7 linked regions of the Oryctolagus cuniculus genome follow. The protein of the gene in region 1 purifies or fractionates together with the protein of each later gene. This does not show direct contact. Links are inferred from orthologs where the notes say so. Each region holds a gene or a part of one and is shown on either strand. Other genes may lie near its edges.

Region 1 (3,500 bases):
CCAAAGGAGGCTTTCAATTACTTATGGGCAATCTGACAAATGCAAGATATTATTTTGTAATTATTTTTTGTGAACCATGGACCAGGTCCCAGGCTGGAGACGCAGGGGTCAACAAGACAGAATGTAACCACTCAGAATGAACTAGAAGACAAGTTCCCCGTGAGCAGCCATTTACCTGTCCTGGTCACTACTGTACCAGCATTTCTGAGGCCTGGAACAGCCACGTGACACTTGATAGTGAGATACTCATTAAATATTTGCTGAATGAATGACTAAGACAGACATGGCTTCTCTCGTGGAATGTACAGAGCAAGGGTGAAGTAGCTGGCCACAGCAGAGAAAACAGACAAGGGGTCATGGCACCAGACCCTGGTCCTTTGGCTCTATCATCAATTTATTTAAGGCCCGTGGCAACCTACCTGGTTCTCTGTGTCAGAGGTTACAAATGAGGACATTTTACACAATGCATCTGCTAGGAATTTTTTGGGTAAAGAGTGTTATGAAAGGCATTTGAGATAACATTAAAAAAAAAAAAGATAAAAGTATCTACTCCTTGGAAGTTTAAATTCTAGTAAATATAAAAGCAAATTGTTATGCAGATAAACAAAACCTACAGCTTCCTCAATTACAGGCACATAGGGGGAAGGGCATGTTGGTGATCAGAGGCAGAGATGGGACAATATGGATTATCCAGGTTCAATTCTTGAGCTGTGATTTTAGAGGCAAGGGGTGTGGTAGGAGAGACACATGGGATCTACTTACCAGCCAGAATACCCCAGAAGTCCACACTGGCCACAGACATCAACCTCAAAGGCATCACTTGAAATCATTAGTCTCTCTAGCAAAAGCATGCTGGCTCCATAACCGATTAAACAGTCACGTTCCATTTCTCCAAGACGCAAGCCACCATCACGAGATCGACCTTCTGTAGGCTGCCTTTGAAACAAATTATTAGACAAATGTGTTATTATAGTAAAGAAACAAAGAGTGCCACACGCTGACTAGGAGCACAAGGCTTTGGAGCTGGGCTCACCTGGATCCAACTCACTTACTAGACAGTAACCTTGAACACTGCTGCTTAGCCTCATTGTGAAAGTGCAAAAAATTACCCATCCCAAAGAGCCTCCAATGAGAAAAGACATACTACTGGTGGTTATTAATAAATACCATAATTATATCATATGATGCAATAATGTGTTAGTATATTACCACATAAAACATTAGTGCTAGCAATATCCCAATAGTAAAGTCCTCCAATCACGGAACGATGTCTGAGCGTTCTCAGAGCTGTCTTGGTATTCTGTTATTTAAAGCAGAAAAACTCAGCAGAACAGACAGTGGCTGAAACAAGAGTCCCCTAGTAGACAGGTCTGTCCCCTGAATGGACTCCCTGTGTTTTAAATATATGATGGGAAAACCTTAAAAGGTTAAATACCCAAGAACCAGTGATGGAGGTAAAATTAGGGAATTCCGAATAATTCAGGCAACCTCACCTCAATATTAACCACACAAACTGTTTGAGAAAAGGAAAACCAAGGGAGACGTGAACTCTGTGGTTGGCTTACTTTGGAGTGATTTCTTTAAAAGACTTATTTTTATTTATTTGAAAGGAAGTTACAGAGAGAGAGAGAGCGTGCGCGAGAGAGAGGGGGGGAGGGAGAGAGAGAGAGAGAGAGAGAGAGAGAGAGAGAGAGAGGTCTTCCATCAGCTGGTTTAATCCCCAATTGGCCACAATGGCTGGGGCTAGGCCAGGCCAAAGCCAGGAGCCTCTTCCGTGTTTCCCATGTGGGTGGCAAAGACCCAAACACCTAGGCTGGACTCCACTGCTTGCCCAGCACATCAGCAGGGAGCCGGATTGGAAGTAGGGCAGCCAGGACTCAAACTGATGCCCATATGGGATGCTAGTATTGCAGGCAGTGGCTTAACCCTCAGGGCCACTATGTTGGCCCCAGAGTGACACTTCCTGGAGGAGCTCTTGGAGCAGCGTGGACCATAAACTCCAGGTTTGCTTTATTCCACAGCATCTTTTAATCTTTGTCATTGTCACTAGCTTTCTAAAGAATTAAGAAGGTGAACACAGTGTATGCCAATGTGTGTAGAAATTTTAATGCTGTTTTTGGCATGGGATTGAATGTTACAATGGAGAATCAAAAAAAGCCATAGATTACTTGTTGAAAGAAACTCTACACACGAAAAAGTCAGGTTTAAATGAACACATTATAGTAGAAACTGCATAACCAAGCACAGCATTCATACAACTTTATCTGTGGGTAGAAATAGTCACGGGTAGGTGCTCCCTCCCCTTGAGGTCACCAGATAAGGAGAGGGCAGACAGACTGACTACATGTGGGCAAGGCCTTGGATTTTAACCAACTAAGTTAACTGACTACAAATAAATGTACTTCAACCAGTCTTCAAATGGAAGACACAAAAGCAATTCAAAAAACATAACTTCTGGAACCACTGCCGTGGCGCGCTAGGTTAATCCTCCGCCTGCGGTGCCGGCATCCCACATGAGCGTCGGTTCTAGTCCCGGTTGCTCCTCTTCCAGTCCAGCTCTCTGCTATGGCCTGGGAAAGCAGTAAAAAGATGGCCCAAGTCCTTGGGCCCCTGCACCCACATGGGGGACAAGGAAGAAGCACCTGGCTCCTAGCTTCAGATCAGCATAGCTCTGGCCATTGCGGCCATTTGGGGAGTGAACCAATGGATGGAAGACCTTTGTCTCTGTCTCTCTCTCTCACTGTCTGTAACTCTACCTGTCAAATAAATAAAATCTTAAAAAAATTAACTTCTTCTACACAACAAAGCAGTGTATAGGAAGTAACAGCTCTGACATTTGTGTTACTCTGAAAGAGCGTTGGGGCTGCCACTGAAATGGCAGTGCAGGAGGGGACGGCTACTAAAGAAGGTGAGGGGAGGCCGGCACCATGGCTCACTAGGCTAATCCTCTGCCTGCGGCGCCGGCACACCGGGTTCTAGTCCTAGTCGGGGCACCGGATTCTGTCCCGGTTGCCCCTCTTCCTGTCTAGCTCTCTGCTGTGGCCCGTGAGTGCAGTGGAGGATGGCCCAAGTGCTTGGGCCCTACACCCGCATGGGACACCAGGAGAAGCACCTGGCTCCTGGCTTTGGATCAGCGCGGTGCGCCGGCCATAGCGGCCATTGGAGGGTGGACCAATGGAAAAGGAAGACCTTTCTCTCTGTCTCTCTCTCTCACTGTCCACTCTGTCAGAGAGAAAGAGAGACAGAGAGACAGAGAGAGAGAGAGAAAGAAAGAAAGAAAGTAAGTAAGGGGGTCGCTCTCCTGACCGCAACCTCTCTTCCATCAGTACAACAGATGCACATCCACTTGGCTGTACACGGGGAAGGGGCTGAGTCATCCACACCTCGCCCTTGGTTGATAAGACCATAGAACCCACACCTTACTGCTTTACTCTTCTTCCCCTACCCCCGTACGTTACCAGCCCGGCAGTACTCAGTGACAGCAGGGAGGGAACTGGCTA
Region 2 (2,782 bases), on another chromosome or scaffold:
ACTAAGTGCTCACAGAAAAGACAGGGTCAAGCTGTGGCTAGAGTTATTAAGGGGGCGGAACCTGGCTCTGTGCTGACTGGGGGGCTGGACCAGGGAGGGCAGAATTTGGCTCTGCGCCTATTGGTGGAAACTGGAAGCAGAGGCCAAGGTTGGGCTGAGCCTGGCGTGGGTGTAATTGATGGTACCTGAGGAACGATTGGGATTTGGGAGAAGGGTTAAACCTTAGGGCTAGGAGTGAAAGGCTGATTGCCATGGGAACAAACCTCCACCCTGAACCTGTCCATTCTCCATGGCAATTCAAAGGGCGATAGCCAGTAAAAGGAATGCAAGGAAGGGTGTGTGTGTGTGAGGTTGCCATGGTGACAGAGGGCAGAGCCTAAAGTCAAGTAGCAAATGCTGCCAGGCAATAGGCCGGAGGCAGGACTTCCAGGGTGCTTTAAAGGATCCATAGAGAAACTAGATCTTCCAATTAATGCTGGACTCTGGAAACAGGGTGCCTTGGCAACCCGCAGGAGTTAGGGGGAAAAAGAAGGGCCATGTGACTCAAAGGCATTCAGGATCTTTAATGTCGGAGGATGCGGTAAGTAGTCAATGGTGAGGCTTCTCTGGGAAATTCTGCAGGCCTTGTAGTTCTCTAAGCCCCTGAAAAAAAGGACAGAAAGGATTTAACAAGGGACGGGTCCAGGCCCCACCTCAGGCTTGCTCTGACCTCCCCGCCCTTGGATCCAGTTTAGAAGGAAAGATGGTCCTTTCCTTCGTCGGCTCTCTCCCTTCTTTAGGTCATCACCCTAACCACATCTGGACATAGAGGCTGGGAGTGGAGTGAGCTGCTCTCACCTCTAGCAACATGTGGATATGGGCCTTGATAGTCATGGAGTCCTTGGTGAGGCTGTTGCTGAGCCTGGAGAAAAGAAACGAGAATGTGCAAAGTGGGCCCCACTTATGAAGATGACCCTTCCTCATCACTTCAAGAACTACCTACATCTGGGATGACTTCCACCCATCTGCTGTGCAGAGATGCCTGACCACAGTCTGGACCTGATCCAAGGATTACCAAATGTCTAATGTATGCCAGTTTTAGGCACTGGGGAGATAGCAGCAAACACAACATACAAAAATCCTGCCTACACGGGGCTCAAATTCTTAGAGACAAATAAATGATGGACTAAAATATATGGTATGTCAGATGGTTCTAAGTATAATGAAAAAAGGAAGCAGTGATGGAGGGAAAGTAGTATGGGAGTGGGAGCTGCCATTTTTAATACAGTGCCTAGGGACAGCTCCATTGAGAAGCATTTGAGTGAAGCTGTAAAGAAGCAAATAGTGCTATATGAAGGCTGCACGGTGTTCCACACACAAGTAGCAGCAAATACAAAGGTGTTGAGGTGGGAGTGTGCCTGGCATGTTTGAGTCACAGCTAATAGGGCATTGTGGCTGGAGAAGAGTAAGTGAGAGGTACTAGAAGAGCTGAGGTCAGGGAGGTAAGGGGGTGGGTGCAGGGAGTGGGAGGCAGGCTGTGTAAACCTACAAGGCCATGTTAAAGAGCCTGGCTTTTCTGCTAAGTGAGCTGGATGCCAGGGGAGGGCTGTGAGCAGAGGAGGGAGGTGAACTGAGTTGGGTCACAGAGGATCCATTTGGATGCTGTGTAGAGTGACTAGGGATAAGGAGAGTAGTGTGGAAGCTGGAAGTCCAGTGAGGTGGCTATGGCAATAGTCCAGGTGAGCCATGGAGGATCAGACCACAGTGGCTGAGAAATGACTGGATTTAGGGTGCATTTTGGAAGTAGAGCCTACAGGATTTACCAAAGGGTCAGCTGTTGGGTGTGAGATAGGACGCTAGGAAGATGCTAAGGCCTAGGCACCCTGAATCTAGAAGTGCCTAAACCACCCTGGCTCCGGACTGCTGGGATACATAAAATAGTAAATTCCTTTTGTGTGAGCCAATTTGGATCAAGTCCCTCCTGAAATAATCCTCACTGATACAAAGAATGAGAAGGAACTGACTGAGAAAGAGTTAAGCAGCAAAAGGGCCCAGAGGCAGGAAAGAGTTTTTTAAGGAACAGCCAGGAGATCAGAAACTTAGAAATTAAGTGAACAGTGAAAGAAAGTGGTATAAGATAAAGTCCAAAAAGGTAGGAAGGGCTAGATCATGCAGGGTCTTCTTATTATGAGAAATGTGGATTTTATTATGCTGTCAATGGTGCAGTCAGTTTGAGGGGAAAATGAATCTAAGTACTGAATTAAAGTACATAGTAACAAGATAGGCTGTTACACTGGAAAAAATAGGATGAACTCATCTATATGCCAATACTTCGCACACTTTGTATTTCCAGCCCAGACCTTTCCTGAACCGGACTTGGGAGTTTTAACTCTATCTTCAAAAAATCGACTTCTGGGGCCCACCCTGTGGTGTAGTAGGCTAAGCCTCTGCATGTGGCACCAGCATCCCATATGGGCGCCAGTTCATGTGCCGGCTGCTCCTCTTCTGATCCAGCTCTCTGCTATGGCCTGGGAAAGCAGTGGAAGATGGCCCAAGTGCTTGGGCTGCTGCACCCATGAGAGAGATCTAGAGGAAACTCCTGGCTCCTGGCTTCAGAAAGGTGCAGCTCCAGACGTTACGTCCATCTGGGGAGTGAACCAACGGATGGAAGGCCTCTCTCTCTGTCTCTCCCTCTCTGTAACTCTACCTCTCAAATAAAACCTTTTCAAAAATCGACTTCAGTGTTCACTAAGCACTTCATACTTAACAGGCCTCAGATTGAGCTCTTGATCTTCCCCTCCAG
Region 3 (4,133 bases), about 8.5 Mb from region 1:
TAGGCTGCAGTGCCAGCACCCCTCACGGGCACCGGTTCATAGTCCCACTGCTCCACTTCCAATCCAGCTCCCAGCTAATGGCCTGGGAAAAGCAGCAGGAGATGGCTCAAAGTGTGCCCTCCCAGCCATGTGGGAGACCCGGATGAAGCTCCTGGCTTCCGGCTGGCCTGCCCCCTGCTGTTGTGGCCATCTGGGGAGTGAATCAGTGGATGAAAGATCTAACTCTGCCTTTCAAAGAAATGAAATAAAAATACATAAAAAATAGAAGTGGGAGGGGCCGATGTTGTAGTGTCGTGGATGAAGCAGCTGTCTGCAACCTAGGTGGGCACCAGTTCGAGTCCCGGCTGCTCCACTTCCTATTCAGCTCCCGGATGAAGTGCCTGGGCCCCTGCACCATGTGGGAGGCCTGGATGAAGCTCCAAGCTCCTGGCCCAGTCCCAGCTGTTGTGGCCATTTAGGGAGAGAACCAGCAAATGAACAAGCTCTGTCTCTCCCTCTTTAACTCGGCTTTTCAAAATAAATAAATACACACATAAGTCAAAACAGCGGTGCAAACCCTACACCAGGTGTCAGAAATCAAGCGAGCAGAGATCCCTGCGACCTCACTTCTCCTCGAGGCCCTCGTGCCTGTGACCACCTGTCTCCTGGACAGCCAGGCCCCGTCCAGTGCACACCAGGCTTGGCCTGGTGGCCTCCTCTGTGGCCAGGGGCCCTCAAGACGGCTTCCATGCCACGGTCTGATTTTTCTACTCATACAGACAGCCTGTTGTGCTCTCTGCACCGCACGGCAACACCGTGTGGACCAGTGAGCTCTCGGGATGCCGGGACAGACGCCTGGCAGCCTCCCGGCACGTGCCGGAATGCAGACACCCCTGCGCTGGGCGCGCACCAAAGCTCGCAAGGTCAGTGCTAAGCTTTGCGTCCTGTGCCCCTGAGGTCCCCCCCGGCCTGCTCTTCCGTTCCCTCTGCCTCTCTCTTCTTTTTTTTTTTTTTTTTTTGACAGGCAGAGTGGACAGTGAGAGAGAGAGACAGAGAGAAAGGTCTTCCTTTGCCGTTGGTTCACCCTCCAATGGCCGCCGCGGCCAGCGCGCTGCGGCCGGCGCACCGCGCTGATCCGATGGCAGGAGCCAGGAGCCAGGTACTTTTCCTGGTCTCCCATGGGGTGCAGGGCCCAAGCACCTGGGCCATCCTCCACTGCACTCCCTGGCCACAGCAGAGGGCTGGCCTGGAAGAGGGGCAACCGGGACAGAATCCGGCGCCCCGACCGGGACTAGAACCCGGTGTGCCGGCGCCGCTAGGCGGAGGATTAGCCTAGTGAGCCGCGGCGCCGGCCTGCCTCTCTCTTCTAACCGCGAGGGCCACTCCGGCGTCCCCACGCTCCTGGCCTGCCCTCTCCCAGGGCAGTGAGTGGCCAGAGCACCAGGCAGACAGGGCTTGGCAGTGGGCGGGAGGAGGGGCACAGCCATGGACCACAGCCTCGGACCCAGAGAGGCCTTGAGAGTCGCCGATCCACCCCCGCCCCGGCAGACGCTCAGGCCGAGGGGGAGGGGGCTGCCCACTTCCAGGGTCCCCAGGTGGGACAGGACCCCGGCCATCTCTGCCAGGAGCCCCAGCCCCGAGAAGACGCCTACCTTTGGTGTGCGACGCGCCGTCGCCTGGAAACACGTAGGCGTCCTCCAGCTTGGTGATGTCGAAGAGGCAGATGCAGAGTCCCACGTTGTACACCACCTGCGCCGCGACACACGGTGACCGCGGGCTGCCGCCACCTCCCGCCCCCGCCCATCCAAGCCGCAGCGCCTCCAGGACAGGCGCCCGGCTCCGCCCACCGGGCCGGGGCCCTGCACACCTCTCTCCCACCCACAAACCCTCTGGTCAGCGCCTCCCGGCCAGCAGGGCTCAGCCTGGCCGCCGGCTCCCACCACAGCTGCCTGACCCCCTCGCTGCGGACGCGGCTCCCTCGTGCCACAGGTTCGCGAGCACCAGTCCCTGGCAGCGTGCACCCCAACTCGTCACGCCCAACGAAGGGACCCCCGCTCCGCCTGCTGGTCGGGACACCGCTCCGCCACTCATCCACTCCATCAACAGACAGGCATGGAGCAGGCAGGCAGAGGTAGAGAGGGAACAGAGCCGTGACGGGCGCGCGCTAAGCCGGGGCCACCTGCATCCCGCGTCAGACGGCTGGTCCGCGCCCCAGCGGCGGCGCACCTGCGGCGGGCCGGCAACTCGCCGCAGACGAAGGGACCCGCGCTGTGCGAGCGCGCACGCCCCAGGCACGAGCCCCCTTCTCAGGCCCGTCCTCGGCCTCTCCCCCGCTCCCCGCCAGCCCCCGTGAGGCACGCTCCGCCCCGCACCTTGTTGGCCAGCTTCTTGTTCAGCTCCTCGGCGATGGAGTCGTTGAGCTTCCTCTCAAACTGCCAGGGGGGGATCCGCACGGTGTCCACCATCTCCACCAGGACGAACATCCCGGCCTGCGCTGGCGGCTCTGCGAGAGGGACGGGCGGTCACGCACCGGGGCCTGGGGTCCTGGGAGCCCCGTGCCCGACCGGCCCCCCTCAGGCCAACAGCGGGGCTGCGCGGTAGCGTCTGCGGCGCCCGGCGAGGGCCATGCTCGGCTGCGGAAGCGACGGGAAACAGAGGCCCGGCGGGCAGCGCCCTCGCTGGAGCGCACGGCACGAGAGCCCCTCCGCCCCGCGCCCGCACCACGCGCCGCCGCCTCGCACCGCGCACGGCACGCAGCTGCGGGAGTTAACCACCGTGCGCGAGATTCCGAATCCCGTCGCTTCCGGAGAGCCGACCAATAAGAAGCTTCTGTCCGCCCCCAGACGCGGGGCGGGGCTCTCTACAGGCTGCCGCACGGGGAGGGGCGGGGCCTCCCCGGGAAGACCCGGCGGCGCCTCTCGTTGCTAGGCAACCCCCTGCCGCTCTCCCGGGCTGGGGCATCTCTTGCTTGCGGGTCCCCGCATCCGGAACGATCCTTGCAAAACGCAAGTCGGCAATGCTTCCGACCTTCCGCCCGGAGTCGGGGAGCCCTGACAGGGAAGTAGAACGGAGGGACCCTTCCTGGGTGATGGAAATATTCTCGACCCCCTTTTAGCTCTTCGTAGAGCTGACAGCTCTCATCAGACTCCGTGCATTTCATTGTAGGCAGATTACATCTCAATTTGAAGTGATAATCAATTGGGACTATATATATAGTCTCTATATAGTGTATGTATATAGAATATATAACAGTGCATATATATATAGTATACACACGCGCGCGCACACACACACACACACACACACACACTCCTCTGTAGCTTCCCGCTGAACTGAGAATAAAGTCCAAAACCTTCCTTCCTGGCGGCTCACTGGGCTCTGTGCGATCTGGCCCTGGCACCTCTCTCCAGCTTTGCCCGTTCTGTTCCCCCCAGGATCCTGTCCTGTCCCTCTGACAGGACACTAACGCGGGCTAAGAGAACTCAGCAAGCTGTCCAGGGCCACCGGCTGCCACGTGCCAGAGATGAGCCCCTCTAAGCTTATACCCGTGCTGCCTCTAAGAGTTGGTGGAAGCGCCGGCGCCATGGCTCACTTGGTTAATCCTCCGCCTGCGGCGCCCGCATCCCATGTGGGTACCGGGTTCTAGGCCTGGTTGCTCCTCTTCCAGGCCAGCTCTCTGCTGTGGCCCGGGAAGGCAGTGGAGGATGGCCCAGGTGCTTGGGCCCTGCACCCGTGTGGGATACCAGGAGGAAGCACCTGGCTCCTGGCTTAGGATCTGCACAGCACCGGCCATGGCGGCCATCTGGGGGGTGAACCAACAGAAAAAAAGAAGACCTTTCTCTCTGTCTCTCTCTCTCGCTAACTCTGCCTGTCAAAAAATAAAAATAATATAAAATTGGTGGATATGGGAATAACTGGATTTTCATTTTGTTTTTTTTATTTGAAAGTGAGAATTACAGAGAAAGAGGGAGAGGCAGAGGTCTCCCATCCACTGGTTCACTCCCTCAGATGGCCTCAACAGCCAGCACTGGGCCAGGCCAAGGCTAGGAGCCAGGAGCTTCTTCGGGGTCTCCCACATGGGTGCAGGGGCCCAAGCACTTGTACCACCTGCTGCTGCTTTTCCCAGGCCATAGTAGAGAGCTGGATCAGTGGGG
Region 4 (3,973 bases), on another chromosome or scaffold:
CACGACGCGCACTGCCCGGGACGCGTCTACACCACCAAGAGCCTGGGAACCCGAGCGCCTGGCGAGGAACCCCGGGTCGGGGATGGGGGGGCTCCCCTGCAACACGCGCAGGCAACTGCCCGGGGAGGTGGGGCCGGCTCCTACGCGGTGCTCGGAGCCGGGCCCGGGCAGGGGCAGGGGCGGCGGCAGTGGGCCCGGCTCGTACACCGTAACGCTCCCGCCGCGGCCGCGCGGGTCTGCGACCCCCATGCCCTCCCTCCGCCCGCGGGGGCTCATTACCATCTTGCAGGATGAGCGTGGGCTGCACCGCCTGCACGCGGAACTGCCTGGCCCGCCAGCCGGGGCTGGGCGCCCGCACCACCTCGCTGTCGGAGAGCCAGGTCACCGTCTCAAAGTTGTCCCCGCGAGCCAGCGCCTCGGCCTCGGCGTGGTGCACCGCCACCCGGTCGAACTGGTAGAGGCCGCCCGAGTGGTCGAAGTGCACGTGGGTGGCCACGGCCAGCAGCGGCCGGCCGGCCGCCGCCGCCTCCTCCTCCTCCCTGGCGCTGCGGTCCTGCAGGAGGCCGGAGGAGTACAGGTACTCGGGCAGGCTGCGCAGCCCCAGGCCCGTGTCGATCACCACGTCCTGCTCGGAGCCGCGCACCAGCCAGATGTTGGCGCGGTTGCCCGACTCATAGAAGCGCTCTTGGATCCAGAAGACGCCATCGCCCAGAGACTTGTGCGCGAACCACTCGAGCGCAGACATGCTGGGCGGGCGTGTGGGCGCGCGGGCCTCCGCAGCCTGAGAGCGCGGGGGACGTGGGGCGGAGACGGAGGCGGCGCAGAGCCGGCGGCGGGAGGCGCGGCCGGACGCCGCTGGACCGCGCTGCCCGCCGCAGAGCGCGGGAGCCGCTTGGCACCGCGGCGCCTCCAGGCGGGGGCCACTGCGGCACGCCGGAGACACGGCGGCGACACCGTCCCCGCCCCGGGGGTGTGCGTGTGGGGGGGTGCGGGGCTGACTGCAGAGGCCGGGTGGGGCGCGGCTAGGGGAGCACCAGGCCCACCCAGCCCCGGGGCCCTCCGCGATGCGCGCTCCCGGACGGCGGGGAGCGAGTCGGGCCGAGCCGGTTGGACGGCGGCTACGGCGCCTGCCAAGGGCTAAAAAGCTCCCGGCCCCGGGGGTGGGGCTTAGCGGGGGCGAGGGGGCGGGCCCGGCTCGGGGCGCTGGGAGCGCGGCGCCGCGGCCGCGTGGAGAGCGGTGCGCGCTTTTGGAACCGGCGGCCGCCGAGCGCTGGAGTCCGGCGCCTGGAGCCTCTGCCTGGCCGGCCGGTCAGTACTCCAACTGCAGTTTTTGCCCAAGCCCGGAGCCTGGAGCGAGCAGGTACCCGAGGAGGCAGTGGAGGGCTTGGGAGGGCGCACAGGGGAGATGGAGGGGTGCGTGGACAAGTCGGGGAGACCCGGCACCTTGCCTCCGGAGTGAGGGGCGGGGGAGGGGGCCTTGCCTCCGCCGCTCCCGCTCGCTTAGAATGTTTTAAAAATCCTCGTTTGCAGCTCCTGCCCGGTCTGCACTTCCTGGCCGCTGGGAGTTTGAAGGGGGGGATTTATGCACTTACTGATGGTGGGTTGGCCGGAGCTGGTGGCTCCGGGACTGACTCGGGCGCTGGGCAGTGCCGCAGGCTCCCCAGGTTCCGTGCCTCGGACCCCGCAGGTGGGGCGGCGCTGCTGACACCGCGCCGCTTCTTTCCGGCTCTTTAAAAATTCCGTGTTCTCCCCCCCACCCCCCCACCCCCCGCCGCCGGTTTTTGTTATCCTGCTCTTGGGTGAGAGCAAAGAAAGTTTGTAGAGGGCTCCACTGAGTAAAAGGCGGGGCACCTAGGATAATGACTGGGTGTGGCCCCGCCAGCCCTGGGAGTGGTCCCTGGCCCCACTCCACCCCTGGCCGCCGAGAGAGCATCTCCTGTCTAGCCAGGACAGATTGTAGAGAGACCCAGGAGACAGCAGGATGAAAGCCCACGAGGGTCCTTTCGGGGGCAAGTGCTCCCAAGCCCTCCTGGAGGTGCTGGTGGACCCACGCCCCTCCCCCCGCACTCGTGGAGTGCGCAGCTGGATAGAGGTTGACCACTCAGCTGGGGGCTGGCCTTACACCCAAGTCCTTGAGCTGTGTGAGGAGGAAAGTTGGAGTATCTGGGCCCAGATGCTGGTGATGGAAGGCACGGCCTGTGGACCCCACCCCAGGAGGGGAGAAGTAAATGCTGCACAGTTGGAAGGGGCTGATGGGAGTGGCGCTGCAGCTGGCCTTGGAAGGTGCTGGTAGGAGCTTAGCAGCCCTGCTCTGTGCCCTCTGGGGCTTTTCCTCCATGCAGGGGCGAAGCTGTAGGGGTGAAATGCAGCAGCACCCTTAGGTAGGAGCTCAGCAGCAATTCACCCCGGAACCACGGGACTTGGTTAGGGATGGCATTTGAGTCTCCAAGGGAGCTTCAGCTTGCTGGTCCCTGTGCCTGGATCCCCAGCTGGCCCTCCCTGGACGGCCTTTCCTCCTCCGGGCAGCTTTTCCCTCCCTTGTGTCCGGTGTGTGCTCCGATATTTCTGAATAAGAGAAGACTTTTGCAGCTACCCGTTGTGCAGTAGCACCCGTGTTTTCTGTTTTATTATTTTTTTCATATCACCTGTCACTCCCTGACATTTTTTTTTTTTTTTGACAGGCAGAGTGGACAGTAACAGAGAGAGACAGAGAGAAAGGTCTTCCCTCCGTTGGTTCACCCCCCAATGGCCGCTGGGGCCGGCGCACCGCGCTGATCTGAAGCCAGGAGCCAGGTGCTTCCCCTGGTCTCCCATGCGGGTGCAGGGCCCAAGGACTTGGGCCATCCTCCACTGCACTCCCGGGCCATAGCAGAGAGCTGGACTGGAAGAGGGGCAACTGGGACAGAATCCGGTGCTCCGACCGGGACTAGAACCCGGTGTGCCGGCGCCGCAAGGCGGAGGATTAGCCTATTGTGCTGCGGCGCCGGCAATCCCTGACATTTCTTATAAAATCATATTTTGTCCATATCCCATCTTAGACTATGCACGCCATGAGAACAGGGATCTTGCTTTGTTCACAGCTGAATTCCTACTCCATAAATGAAGGCCAGGTACAGAGGGTACTTTTTAATAAATACCTGATGGGTGGCTCACTGGGGCGCCCCCTGGGAGACCAACAAGTCCTGACAGTTACACCATGATGATTAAAAGGACCACAGGAGCCGGGTTGTACTTGGGAACCAGGAAGAAGGGAGTGGCTTGCCACCCAGTAGGGTGGTGGAAATGGTCCCAGAGAAGCATCAGGTGTATGGCTCAGAAGATGCTAGGGTGTGCTCAGGCCGATGTGGCAGGAGGGACCCTGCAAGCCGGAGCAACCCCGCGTGCAAGAGTGAGGATGCTTTGCTGAGGGGCAGAGCTGGCCTCGGAAGCGCCACTGGCTGAGGAGGGTGACGGGTAGCTGCAGAGGAACTACCAAGGGGCAGTGGACTGTAGAGGTGTATTTGTTCCATTTTATTTCTTGTCATTTCATTTGTTCTGCTTTGGAGGTCCACATGGGAGGTGCCGAGAGTCTGAGCAAAAGCAGAGTTGGAGGCCGGGGAGTAGGGGCGAGAGAACACGGAGCTGGTGGGCTTCTGCTGTCGGGTGAGGGGATCGAAGGAGACCTCCAGATGGGGTGACGATCAGGCTCCTACGGGGGCACATTCTGGGCCCTTCATCAGGAGAGAGCTGTGACCTGGCTCTCACTGCCTCCCCCTGCATCAGCGTCTGCTTCCGTCCCTGTGTCTCTACGTCTGTCTGGTTAGTTTGAGCGAGGGCCCGAGTCATGCTGCTGGGATGATGGGCCTGGGAGGGATTTCGGAGATGAGCTCAGCTCTGCCAGAGGTCGCCTTGCACCTGGTGAGAGTGGACTTCTGCATTGCAGCTCTTGGATGGTTCAGCTCCACCCGTCTGCAGCCCTCCTGGGGGTAGTGGC
Region 5 (3,500 bases), on another chromosome or scaffold:
CTGGGAGGCAGCAAGTGATGGTTCAAGTAGGTGGGTCCCAGTCACCCAAGCAGGAAACCTGGACTGAGTTCCCAGCTCCTGGCTTCAACCTGGGCCAAGCCATTGCCGGCATTTGAGAAGTGAAACAGCAGATGAAAGCTCTGTCTCTACCTCTCAAAGAAATGAATAAGTAAATAATTTAAAAATCAACATCAGGTAGCAGGTTAAGCTGCAACCTGCAACACTGACATTCCATACGAGCAATGGTATCAGTCCCGGCTGTTCTCTTCCAATCCACCTCTCTGCTAATGTACCTGGAAAAGCAGTGGAAGACCCAGATGGAGCTCCAGGCTCCTGCCTTCAGCCTAGCCCAACCACGGCCGCTGTGGCCATTTGATGAGGAGACTAGCAGAGGGAAGATCTCTGTGTCTCTCTCTTCAACTGTCTAGGTTGCTTTGCCTTGCAAATAAATCAATCTTTAAAAGCAACAACAACTGTATCCTTTCCCTGTGATGCATGTACAACAGTCATGACTATAATAGCTTTCAGTCAGATCTGTGAGTCATGCAGTAAATTACAGAAGCCTCAGGATGAGGATTCCCAAATATGGAACTGGGGTTCAGAGGTGAGGGCAGTCAGACTATTCCTTCCACTTTTGTGGCTAACTAACCACTTCTGTTGGCCAAATCACCCCCACTTTTATATAAACAGAATAAACACTGGGTTAGAGTAACACTCCGCACATGAGGTAAGAGGTGATCTTGATTGGGTGGCCAGTTATCAGCAGAGTAAACCAACAGCGCTCAGTGGTGGCTTAGGGAGGCCTCCAGAAGCCCAGGCTTACTTCATAGGTGATAGTATTCAAGTTCTGTTGCCCAGAACTCTGTTTATTCTTCCCACTTTGTTTACGCCGCTCTTTCAGATCAGTTAGTAACTGGAACACCTAGGAAGAGATATACAAAAGACTTTATAAATACATTTGAGAAACGTTCTATTCCAAGGTCCATGATACTGGAAGATAATTAGGGGGTACGGCACTGTGGCATAGTGGGCAAAGCCTCGGCCTGCAGCACCGGGCATCCCATATGGGTGCCTGTTTGAGTCCCAGCTGCTCCACTTCTGACCCAACTCTCTCCTTATGGCCTGGGAAAGCAGCAGAAGATGGCCCAAGGGCTTGGACCCCTGCACCCACATGGGAGACCCAAAAGAAGCTCCAGGCTGCTGTCTTCAGGTTGGCCCAGCTCCAGCCATTGTGGCCATTTGGAGAGCAAACCAGTGGATGGAAGATTTTTCTGTCTCTCTCTTTCTCTCTCTAACTCTACCTCTCAAATAACTAAATAAAATCTAAAAAAAAAAAAAAAAAAAAATTTTTTTCATGTACATTTAAAAAAAAAGACAATTAGGTAAGTATAATACCTCTTTCTTCCTTACAACCTGCCTCCCAACTCTTGGATTGGAGTAAATATGAATCCCAGAAGCATGAGACATTTAAAAAATGCTCTTTTATCTAAATCAAATAATCCAAATTATTTTAATTAAAATATTTCAAATGTTTCCTATCAGTATATGCCATCTAACTGATCTCTGATCTCAAAAAACATACCAGATATTTCAAAAATATATAAATATTTTTATATTTAGATAAGAGTATAAAATAAATAAATTTTGCTAAACTAAATATATAATATTTTTAAAAAGGGTTTTGTTCCTCTAATATGAAAATTTAGCATAATAATTTCTTTCCAGAAAAGAAAAATTATGAAGCAAGTGATTTAATAGTTTTCAAAAAAGAAAGGACGAAATGCTACATTTCCCAGCAAGAGAAAAACAGATGTGTATCCATGCTGGGGTGGGAGAAGGGATCTCTGCTGTTTCAGAGACTCTGCCAGAAAATGGAGGGAAATACAGGCTCACAGACCATTATTAGATACAATGCAACTCCTATCCCTGCCTGCTGTTCCTTTTACAAATACATGGGGCCCAGTGAATGCATGGTGTCCCCAATGGACAAAAGATCAAACACCTAGCAAAGTTCAAAATGGACAAAGAGGTTCCTAAAAGCCAATGGGCTGACCAACAGACATTTCCTTCCTGTTTTAAGCAGCAACCATTTAGGATGAACCTTTTGGAAGGAATACAGCCAATCGTGTTTATTCCAGTACCTTCTCTAAATATCACACAATGGAAACTCAGACCTCCTTTAACTCTTTATGAGTTTAGACTCTGGCATATGGAAAACTGGGCCTGTCAGATGCTGGTACCAAATAGGCCCTGTGCAAAATAGGTACACAAAATACTATCACATCTCCTCCTTCATCAACCTCTTTCTTTCCTCCCTTTCCCCAGCAACCCTACCCTGTAAGTCCCTTAAATTTTAAGTCTTCTAATCATTCATAATGGTGATTCAACTAAACCTTTACTTTCAAAACAAGGATGGTACCACCTATGGACTGAGGATCAAAATAATAATGTATAAAAAAGCATTTCATAGGTAAAATGGGTAATTATGAAGAGAAATAAGCATTTTATTAGAAAACTTTTGCACACAGAAACAGTGCTAAAATAGATGGCTTCCATCCCAAGAAGGCATCCCCAATGGTTACTAGAATTTTGAGGACTTAGAAAGTTTGCTTGATTTAAAGTCTTCCCATCTTCCCAGAAATACTACGTATGATTTATCAAGCCTCAAATAATTCAAGATCCAACCGACAGGGCCGTCTATCCTGTTTTAAAAGTGAAAACCCGGCCGGCGCCGCAGCTCACTAGGCTAATCCTCCGCCTAGCGGCGCCGGCACACCGGGTTCTAGTCCCAGTCGGGGCACTGGATTCTGTCCCGGTTGCCCCTCTTCCAGGCCAGCTCTCTGCTGTGGCCAGGGAGTGCAGTGGAGGATGGCCCAGGTGCTTGGGCCCTGCACTCCATGGAAGACCAGGAAAAGCACCTGGCTCCTGGCTCCTGCCATCGGATCAGTGCGGTGCGCCGGCCGCGGTGGCCATTGGAGGGTGAACCAACGGCAAAGGAAGACCTTTCTCTCTGTCTCTCTCTCACTGTCCACTCTGCCTGTCAAAAAAAAAAAAAAAAAAAAAAAAAAAAAAGTGAAAACCCAAATGAATCCAGTAATTTCTAACTAAATCTAATTCAACAATCCCCAGAAGTAAAGAGATACCTTTCTGGGAGAAAAACATATACAACAGTCCACTTCAAAGCCACTTACCTCATAGTTACTGAGCAGTGCAGAATTGGCATCCTTCCTGCAAAAGAAAAGTAAGTTATTATCAGTCCAGGCTTATACCCTTCTCTGGGTATTAAATATCATAAAAGAATCCAGTAATCCAGTTCAGCAATTTGGGGACTACATCCTAAAACTGAGAAATGTCCTAAATCCTACATGGTTTAGCAGGTTGTAGACAACTTCAGAGTGTTCTTTCTTTTTTATATCCACAGCATATCACACACCCATCACCAAGCAGATGATTAAAATACTATACTTGTCCCAATTCTATACAGGCAGAAGTATGAGTTC
Region 6 (4,052 bases), on another chromosome or scaffold:
TCACATCTGTCTGACCTCCTTCCTGCCACGGGCTATTCTGATAGTTACAACATCATTCTCAGGCCATACACAGTCATCAACTTACATTAGCTGCCCGGAGAGTTAACTGAATTGGGAGTTCTGCCCACGGCTGCCTTGGCAGGGTCACACCAGATTTCGTGGGCCACAGATGTCCTGCAAGCCGGACACTCCTCACCCCAAATTTAAACTGTTGCCTTTCAACTCTGGCTGCAAGATAGCATCACTCTGTTTCACTGCAAACTAGTCCAATCACAATTTCTAGAGATGCAGCATTGGGGATCTGTATTTTTTGAAGGCCTGCACTTTAAGAATCACCTGGCATCCTACATGGGCGCCAGTTTGAGTCCCAGCTGCTCCTCTTCCAATCCAGCTCCCTGCTATTGTTGGGAAAGCAGTAGAAGATGGCCCAGGTACTTGCGTCCCTGTACCCACATGGGAGACCCGGAAGAAGCTCTTGGCTTCCGCCCGACCCAACACTGGCCACTGAGGCCATTTAGAGGGAAATGAACTAGCGGATGGAAGACCCACCCCCACCCCCCTCTCTGTAACTCTGCCTTTCAAATAAATCAATCTTTAAAAAAAAAAATCATTTGCAAGCCAGGGTTAACAATCACCAGTGCAAGGCCGGTGCTGTGGCACAGCGGGTTAACACCTGGCCTGAAGTGCCAGCATCCCTTATGGGCACCAGTTCTAGCCCCAGCTGCTCCACTTCCCATCCAGCTCTCTGCTATGGCCTGGAATGGCAGTGGAGGATGGCCCAAGTCCTTGGGTGCTTGCACCTGTGTGGGAGACCTGGAAGAAGCTCCTGGCTCCTGGCACGGATCAGCGCAGTTCCGGCCGTTGCAGCCAAACTGGGGAGTGAACCATCGGATGGAAGACCTCTCTCTCTCTCTCTGCCTCTCCTCTCTCTGTGTAACTCTTTCAAGTAAAATAAATGAATCTTAAAAAAAAAAAAATCACCAGTGCAAAGAATGGACACACAAATTTTTACACTTCTGAGCCATAAGCTAGTTACTTCCCCCACAGCCCCAGCCTGTGCAAAGAAACAAGGGGCAAGTATTCAGGCTACTTACTCTTCCTTGATCTTCCGGCTGATGATATTTGGGGTGAAAGTTTTCTGAAAGCAAAATGCAAGAGTCACTGACTTGATCCGTTCTGACCCCCCAAAGGGCATCTCCTGGGGACCAAGCCCACCCTGAGGCCCTCTGCACACACTGCGCTGTCATCACACCTTCACACAGACACACAGCTGCCTGGCGAGGAGAGCCATCCTGCCACGGCGGCAGCACAGTCACACGGGCAGCAGGGAACCCGACACCATCCTAACTAGCAGCTTCTGCCCTCTGAGAGCCCCACCAGCACCTCCAAATGCAAAGAAACCTGTCTGATGTCTCTCATCTCCAGTCTGCTACGGGGGCCAATCAGTACCACAGGCACACAGCTCTCGCTCAAGGCCCAGGCAGGGAACACAGATCTGCCAGCACTCACAGAGGACATGGTTAGACTGGCACCAGACTGGCCCGAGACACAGGTAAATCTTTCAAAACTGGCTGCTGTCTGCTCTGTCTCATTCCCTGTCACCCCCAACCCTCTGAGAGCTCCTCACAGCCACAGTCACGTGGAAAAGGGCACCGGGCCCCAATGCCATGCCCAGAATCTACCAGAGGATTCTGGGACCCTCTCAAAACTGACAGCGGCGTTTGTGCTTGTCTGGCTATCTTAGGGTTCTTAAAGGGGGCTCCAAACAAACACTAAGGGGTCAGCGGGTCAGTGTTGTGGTGCAGTGGGTTAAGCCTCTGCCTGGAATGCCAGCATCACACTGGGGCGCCAGCTCGGGTCCTGGCTGCTCCACTTCCCATCCAGCTCCCTCTGACGCACCTGGGAAGCCAGAAGATGGCCAGACGCAGTTCCTGGCTCCTGACTTCAGCCTGGAACAGTCCGGACCATCGGGGCCATTTGGGGAGTGAGCCAGCAGGTGCATGCCAGCACTCTTTCAAATACACAGAGCATTTTCTACAACACACACGCACGCACAATGAAAGTAAACCCTGCTCTTTGGAACGTCTGGAACCAGGCGCGATCCTCTGAAAACCACCTCAACAGCTCGTGGCCAGCACCCAGACTTGACTGAGCCCCAACACCACGCCCAGCACACAGCAAGCCACACAGGGGCATCTGCTGAATCTGGGAGCCTGGAGTGCCAAACAGCTGAGTGTCCTGAGAAACGCGCCGGGCGGGTACCTTCTTGACTCCCCCGAGAGTGAGGTCCCTGGAGCGGATGGAGGGAAGGCGGCCCGGCGTGGGAGGGGGCGCAGGCCGCCGCCCGATGAGCCCCCGGGCCCCTGAGAGCAGGGGCCGGGGGGTGCCCGGAGCGCCGGGCTCGCCCGCGGCGCTTCCTTCCGACATGCTGCCTGAGAGAGAGAACGGGCGCCCGGTCACCGGCGGAGACGGACCCGCGAACCCGGGGCGGAACCGCACTCACGTGGCGGGCCGCTCCCCCTGCAACCCGCCCCCGACGCGTCCCTCGGGCTGCGTCTCGGCTCCTCCCCCTCCCACGTGGCGAGGCGCCCCGGACCACCCCGGCCGGAGCCCTTAGCTCTAACCTGCCCTCCCAGCCCCCCGCCAGGCCCGAGGCAGGAACGCACACGCCGCTGGGGCTCCGCAACCGCGCGTCCCCACTTCACAGCCGACGCCACTCGCCGCCGACCCCTAGTCTCCGCGCCGGGCGGAAGTCTGCGTGGCAGCGCCTGGGCGCCGCCATCTTGCCGCGGGGCGGAAGTGACGATTGGGGGCGGGGCTAGGCCACAGTATTTATGAGGCGGCGTCTCGCTGCCCTCCGCCTTCTCTTCCCGGTTCTTCCCGGAGTCGGGAAAAGCTGGGTTGAGAGGGCGAAAAAGCTGGGGTGAGGGGGGCCGGTCCGGGCTACGTTACGGGGCGGCGTTTGTGGGTCGTGGCCTCGGGCCAGGGGTGGGGGCGCCGAGCTCCAGGCAGCGCCTTGGCGACCCCCACCCCACGGGGCAGTGGGGACGGGGGCGGAATTCGCCGCGACTTAGCCGCTCGGAGCAGTGGGGTCGCGCGTCGGGGTGGAGTGCGGGGCCCGGCTGCAGCCCCGGGCAGCCCCGGCTGCGGGCGCTGTGTGGTGACCTTGGGGCGGTCACTGCCGCGGGGCAGCGGCGGGGCGTCCGGGGTGGGCTCAGGGGCGTCTCCGGAGCGGCTGCCCCGTCCCCCGTTCTGGGCTCAGGGTCGCCCGGGTCCTGGAGAGAAGACGGAAACCGAGTCTGCTCTGCCGCGGGAGGGACGGATCCGATCAGCTTCTGTCGTGACTCTGGCCCTTGTGATTTGACGGGAAAAGTGTCCTTCGGGGATGGCCGGAGTTCTGGGGTCCTGCGCCCACGTGGGAGCCCTGCCTACGGCTCCTGGCTTCGGTTCCCATCCCAAATGACTGTAACACCCTGGGCTGGGCCAGGCAGAAGCAAGGAGCCTGGGCCTCGTGGGATGCTGGTATCACAGGCAGCAGCCTGGAATTTTTTTTTTTTTTTTTTTTTTTTTTTTTTTTTTTTTTTGTAAGGCAGAGTTAGAGAAATCTTCCATCCGCTGGTTCACTTGCCAATTGGCCACAAAGCTGGGATCTCCCACGTGGGTGCAGGGGCCCAAGGATTTGGGCCATCTTCTACCACTTTCCCAGGCACATTAGCAGGGAGCTGGATCACAAGTGGAGCAGCTGGGACTTGAACTGGCGCCCACTGCAGGCAGCGCCTTTACCCACTGGGCCAGAATGCCAGCCCAGGGACTGGATCTTGATTTACCTGTTTCCCTGTTTGGACATTTGGATTTTTTTTTTTTTTAAGCAACATACATAGTGAACATATGGTGTGTTAAACTTTTTTCTTCTTTTGAATTATTCCCCTGGGAGAGATTTCCACTTCGGATAACAAGCAGAAAGATGTACATTTCTTTCTTTCTTTTTTTTTTTTTAAGACATTTATTTATTTGAAAGAGTTAATACAGAGAGAGAAGGAGAGAGAGAGATG
Region 7 (2,755 bases), on another chromosome or scaffold:
GCGTAGGGGTGCTGGCGTCTCCAGCTGGCCCTGGGCCCACTGTGGTCACTGTGGCACAGGCAGTGAGCAGACGAGGGGCCTGCAGGTCCTGCCAGGAGCCGGGGACAGCTCTGCGATGCGGCCAACACCCTGGGGACAGCAGTGGCTCGGCCACCATGGCCCTGCTCTGCCCTGGTCCCCGTCCCCAGCTGACCGCGGGCTCGGCCCCGTGTGGGTTGCTGGGAGTAGCTGCTCCCTGGCCCTCAGCCTGGGCCCGCAGGGACAGCCCGGGAAGGGCCCCCGGGAGCCTGAGGGCGCTCAGGGCTGGTGCGACCCCGACAGGGCCACAGGGTGGGGACCCAGGCAAGGGCAGCCGCTGACCGCAGCAGGCAGTGCAGGCTCGGACGAGCAGCCACGCTGGGTGGGCGGGGACCAGGGAGCAGGAACCAGGACCCCGAGACAGCTGGGCCAGGTGGACTGGGGGGGGGGGGGCGGAGCGAGGCCAAGGAGGGGACCAGTGGTGTTTGTGCAAGGACTTTACTGGGCGGCTGGCGACATGCGTGCGCGCGGCCCGCCTCTGCTCCCGGCGTCTGACAGCCCGGCCGCGAGGACGCAGGGCAGGACGCCGCGGGCCATGGCGGGGCGGCGCTACTTCTCCAGGGGCGCGTAGTTGAGCAGTTTCTCGATGAGGTCCACGTGGGCCAGCAGCATTCGGCGGCAGCAGTAGCGCTTCAGCCCCAGGGCGTCCAGGGCGTCCCTGCGACCAGACAGCAGTGAGGCGGCCTGCGCCGGGCTCGCCCCCAGCGCGCCCCTTCCCACCCGGGGGCTCCGGCCTCCCGGCCCAGCCCGGGCCCAGCGGCCGGAGCATCCCTGCGACCAGACAGCCGGGCTCGCCCCTGCTCCAGGCCAGGTGGACAGGTCCCCCCAGGATGCACCGGGGAGGAGCCACCCAGGGCCACCCCTTCCCCACCCAGAGGCTCCAGCCTCCCGGCCCAGCCCCGGCCCGCCCTCTCCCAGGCTGGGCTCACGGTGGCCAGGGCAGCCCCGGCGCCCCCTCCCCCGGGGGCCGGGACTCCCGACCACGACCGCAGCCCCGCGGGACCCCCACTCTCAGGGAGCCACCCTTCTACTTCCGGAAACCAACGAGACGCTTCCAGAAAACTCCTGCAGCGCTGGCTCCGGGGGGCGGAGGAGGCGGCTTGGGAGTGAGAAGGCGCGACCGAGGGGCCTCGGCAAAGCAGCCCCTGCCCCTCCGCCCCGCCGCAGCCCCGCGTCAGCCCGCGGCGCGGGACAGGAGGCGCGGGTGGGCCCGGTCCCCGCCCCGCCCCGCCCCCGGGCCCCACGCGCCCGGCGCCTCACCCCTCGGTGTACTCCGCCTGCAGCAGCCCCAGGTAGGCCTCCCACTTGTTGCCGACGATCTTGCCGCACGTGAAACAGCGCACCGGGATGATCATGGCGGCGCGCACTCCGCGGCAGCCCCGCGCACTGCCGGGCCCGTCCGCGGCGCTGCAGGCCCCGCCCCGGGCGCGCCCACTGGCGCGGGGTTCCTCGGCGCCGATTGGAGGCCGCGTCCGGCGGCGCCCCCCGTCCGGCGGTTTGGTACGTGCCGCGCTACGGCGACTGGGCTCGGCCAAAAGGGCTCGGCGGCGCCGGTTCGCGTTTCTCGTGTCCGCTTGACTGACAGCTGCGCGGCGGGAGCGGACGACGCGGTGCGGCGGCGGGAGGCGGCGGCCCAGGTACTACGCGGGCGCCGGCTGGACCCGGACGCGGACATCAGCCGCGGCGCGCGAGCGCCACCTCCAGTGCGGAGCCCCAGGCCGGTCGCAGCAACAAGTGGGGCCGGGCGAGGGGCCCGGCGAGAGGGTCTGGCCCCGGGGCGGGAGGCCTCGGACGGACCTTCCCGCCTCCCGGCCCGGCCCGGCCTGGACCCGGTCGCTGTCCCTTGAGCCCTGCGCGAGGCTCGGGTCCCCGCGGGGAGTTGCTGGGAGCCCCGACGGCAGTCTGTCGGCGTCTTGTTCGCTCTTTCCCGGGCCTGGCGCTGGGCGTGTGGTCAGCCCCTTTGAGCTGACCCTCGAAGGCCAGGGCCCCCGCGTAGGGGCAGCCCCAGCTGTGCGTCCCCTTCAGGGGCTCCACGGGCGGGGCTGCTGCCTCCCGGGTGGACCGGGCTGAGCCTGGTGCCCCGGCTGCCCCAGGCGGGCTGGGGAGCCGCAGGGCTGTGGGGGTGTTGCCCGTGGCCCCCGCGGGGCTCTGGCCAGGTTTGCTGGCCTTGGATGTGTGGCCGGGGCGGGGTCCTCACGCGGGACCCCGGCATCTGCTGAGTGCCCGCTCAGGGCAGACGCTGGACAGGGACGGGGACGAAGGGTCTCAGGTCCGGAGTGGGGCTGCCCAGAGCCACTGCCCTGCCAGGGTTAGTGCCCTCTCGGCCACGTGCGGAGCCACGAGCCCTGGCCACTTCCCTTCTCTGCCTCCCTCCCCCAGGCTGAGTGGACGCACATCCTGCCCTGGCCAGAGGGGCAGGATGGGGCCGTGAGTCACCGTGGCCTGGGGTCAGACCCAGGCTCGGCGGCCGCGGCTGTGGAGGAGAGGGAGCCCGGGTCCGGGAGGCCAGCCCGGTGGGCGCCCAGCGCGTGAGTGGGGCCTTCCTGGGGGAGGGGTCAGGGGCCTGCCCCGCCCCTGCTCCCACTGGGCGCCGCTGTTTACTGTGGGAGTGGGGGAGTGAGCCGCCCTCCCCTGCGGGGGCCCTGGCCAAGGCGGCATTCCTGGGATTCCGCGTGCG

Evidence for each region.
Region 2: the proteins of POLR3B (region 1) and UXT purify together in Homo sapiens (affinity purification with mass spectrometry; 3 studies listed by BioGRID and IntAct, counting the BioPlex papers as one, with this or other methods). This does not show direct contact. The link is inferred for Oryctolagus cuniculus from reciprocal best matches to the Homo sapiens genes POLR3B and UXT.
Region 3: the proteins of POLR3B (region 1) and POLR3H purify together in Homo sapiens (affinity purification with mass spectrometry; 8 studies listed by BioGRID and IntAct, with this or other methods). This does not show direct contact. The link is inferred for Oryctolagus cuniculus from reciprocal best matches to the Homo sapiens genes POLR3B and POLR3H.
Region 4: the proteins of POLR3B (region 1) and POLR3G fractionate together in Homo sapiens (co-fractionation; 4 studies listed by BioGRID and IntAct, with this or other methods). This does not show direct contact. The link is inferred for Oryctolagus cuniculus from reciprocal best matches to the Homo sapiens genes POLR3B and POLR3G.
Region 5: the proteins of POLR3B (region 1) and CRCP purify together in Homo sapiens (affinity purification with mass spectrometry; 5 studies listed by BioGRID and IntAct, with this or other methods). This does not show direct contact. The link is inferred for Oryctolagus cuniculus from reciprocal best matches to the Homo sapiens genes POLR3B and CRCP.
Region 6: the proteins of POLR3B (region 1) and POLR3D purify together in Homo sapiens (affinity purification with mass spectrometry; 8 studies listed by BioGRID and IntAct, counting the BioPlex papers as one, with this or other methods). This does not show direct contact. The link is inferred for Oryctolagus cuniculus from reciprocal best matches to the Homo sapiens genes POLR3B and POLR3D.
Region 7: the proteins of POLR3B (region 1) and POLR2L purify together in Homo sapiens (affinity purification with mass spectrometry; 5 studies listed by BioGRID and IntAct, with this or other methods). This does not show direct contact. The link is inferred for Oryctolagus cuniculus from reciprocal best matches to the Homo sapiens genes POLR3B and POLR2L.

What each region holds. Positions count from the first base shown.
Region 1 is NC_091442.1:109,083,798-109,087,297, reverse strand, and holds part of POLR3B (DNA-directed RNA polymerase III subunit RPC2), read right to left. Parts: exon of another isoform or gene 937-3,500; coding exon 763-936; intron 1-762. UniProt on the Homo sapiens protein: Catalytic core component of RNA polymerase III (Pol III), a DNA-dependent RNA polymerase which synthesizes small non-coding RNAs using the four ribonucleoside triphosphates as substrates.
Region 2 is NC_091453.1:33,158,954-33,161,735, forward strand, and holds the end of UXT (protein UXT), read right to left. Parts: intron 902-2,782; coding exon of another isoform or gene 838-901; intron 643-837; coding exon 516-642; 3' UTR 501-515; downstream 1-500. UniProt on the Homo sapiens protein: Involved in gene transcription regulation. Acts in concert with the corepressor URI1 to regulate androgen receptor AR-mediated transcription. Together with URI1, associates with chromatin to the NKX3-1 promoter region.
Region 3 is NC_091442.1:117,537,247-117,541,379, forward strand, and holds the start of POLR3H (DNA-directed RNA polymerase III subunit RPC8), read right to left. Parts: upstream 2,801-4,133; 5' UTR 2,721-2,800; exon of another isoform or gene 2,701-2,720; intron 2,483-2,700; 5' UTR 2,463-2,482; coding exon 2,352-2,462; intron 1,729-2,351; coding exon 1,632-1,728; intron 1-1,631.
Region 4 is NC_091445.1:13,194,646-13,198,618, forward strand, and holds the start of POLR3G (DNA-directed RNA polymerase III subunit RPC7), read left to right. Parts: upstream 1-1,173; 5' UTR 1,174-1,360; intron 1,361-1,820; exon of another isoform or gene 1,821-2,041; intron 2,042-3,973. Other genes in the region: acyl-coenzyme A thioesterase MBLAC2, read right to left, coding at 280-745. UniProt on the Homo sapiens protein: DNA-dependent RNA polymerase catalyzes the transcription of DNA into RNA using the four ribonucleoside triphosphates as substrates.
Region 5 is NC_091450.1:66,207,975-66,211,474, reverse strand, and holds part of CRCP (DNA-directed RNA polymerase III subunit RPC9), read right to left. Parts: intron 3,229-3,500; coding exon 3,192-3,228; intron 923-3,191; coding exon 824-922; intron 1-823. UniProt on the Homo sapiens protein: DNA-dependent RNA polymerase catalyzes the transcription of DNA into RNA using the four ribonucleoside triphosphates as substrates.
Region 6 is NC_091439.1:1,079,462-1,083,513, forward strand, and holds the start of POLR3D (DNA-directed RNA polymerase III subunit RPC4), read right to left. Parts: upstream 2,801-4,052; 5' UTR 2,667-2,800; exon of another isoform or gene 2,625-2,666; intron 2,433-2,624; 5' UTR 2,428-2,432; coding exon 2,263-2,427; intron 1,139-2,262; coding exon 1,095-1,138; intron 1-1,094. UniProt on the Homo sapiens protein: DNA-dependent RNA polymerase catalyzes the transcription of DNA into RNA using the four ribonucleoside triphosphates as substrates.
Region 7 is NC_091432.1:353,577-356,331, forward strand, and holds POLR2L (DNA-directed RNA polymerases I, II, and III subunit RPABC5), read right to left. Parts: upstream 1,504-2,755; 5' UTR 1,434-1,503; coding exon 1,339-1,433; intron 737-1,338; coding exon 628-736; 3' UTR 501-627; downstream 1-500. UniProt on the Homo sapiens protein: DNA-dependent RNA polymerase catalyzes the transcription of DNA into RNA using the four ribonucleoside triphosphates as substrates.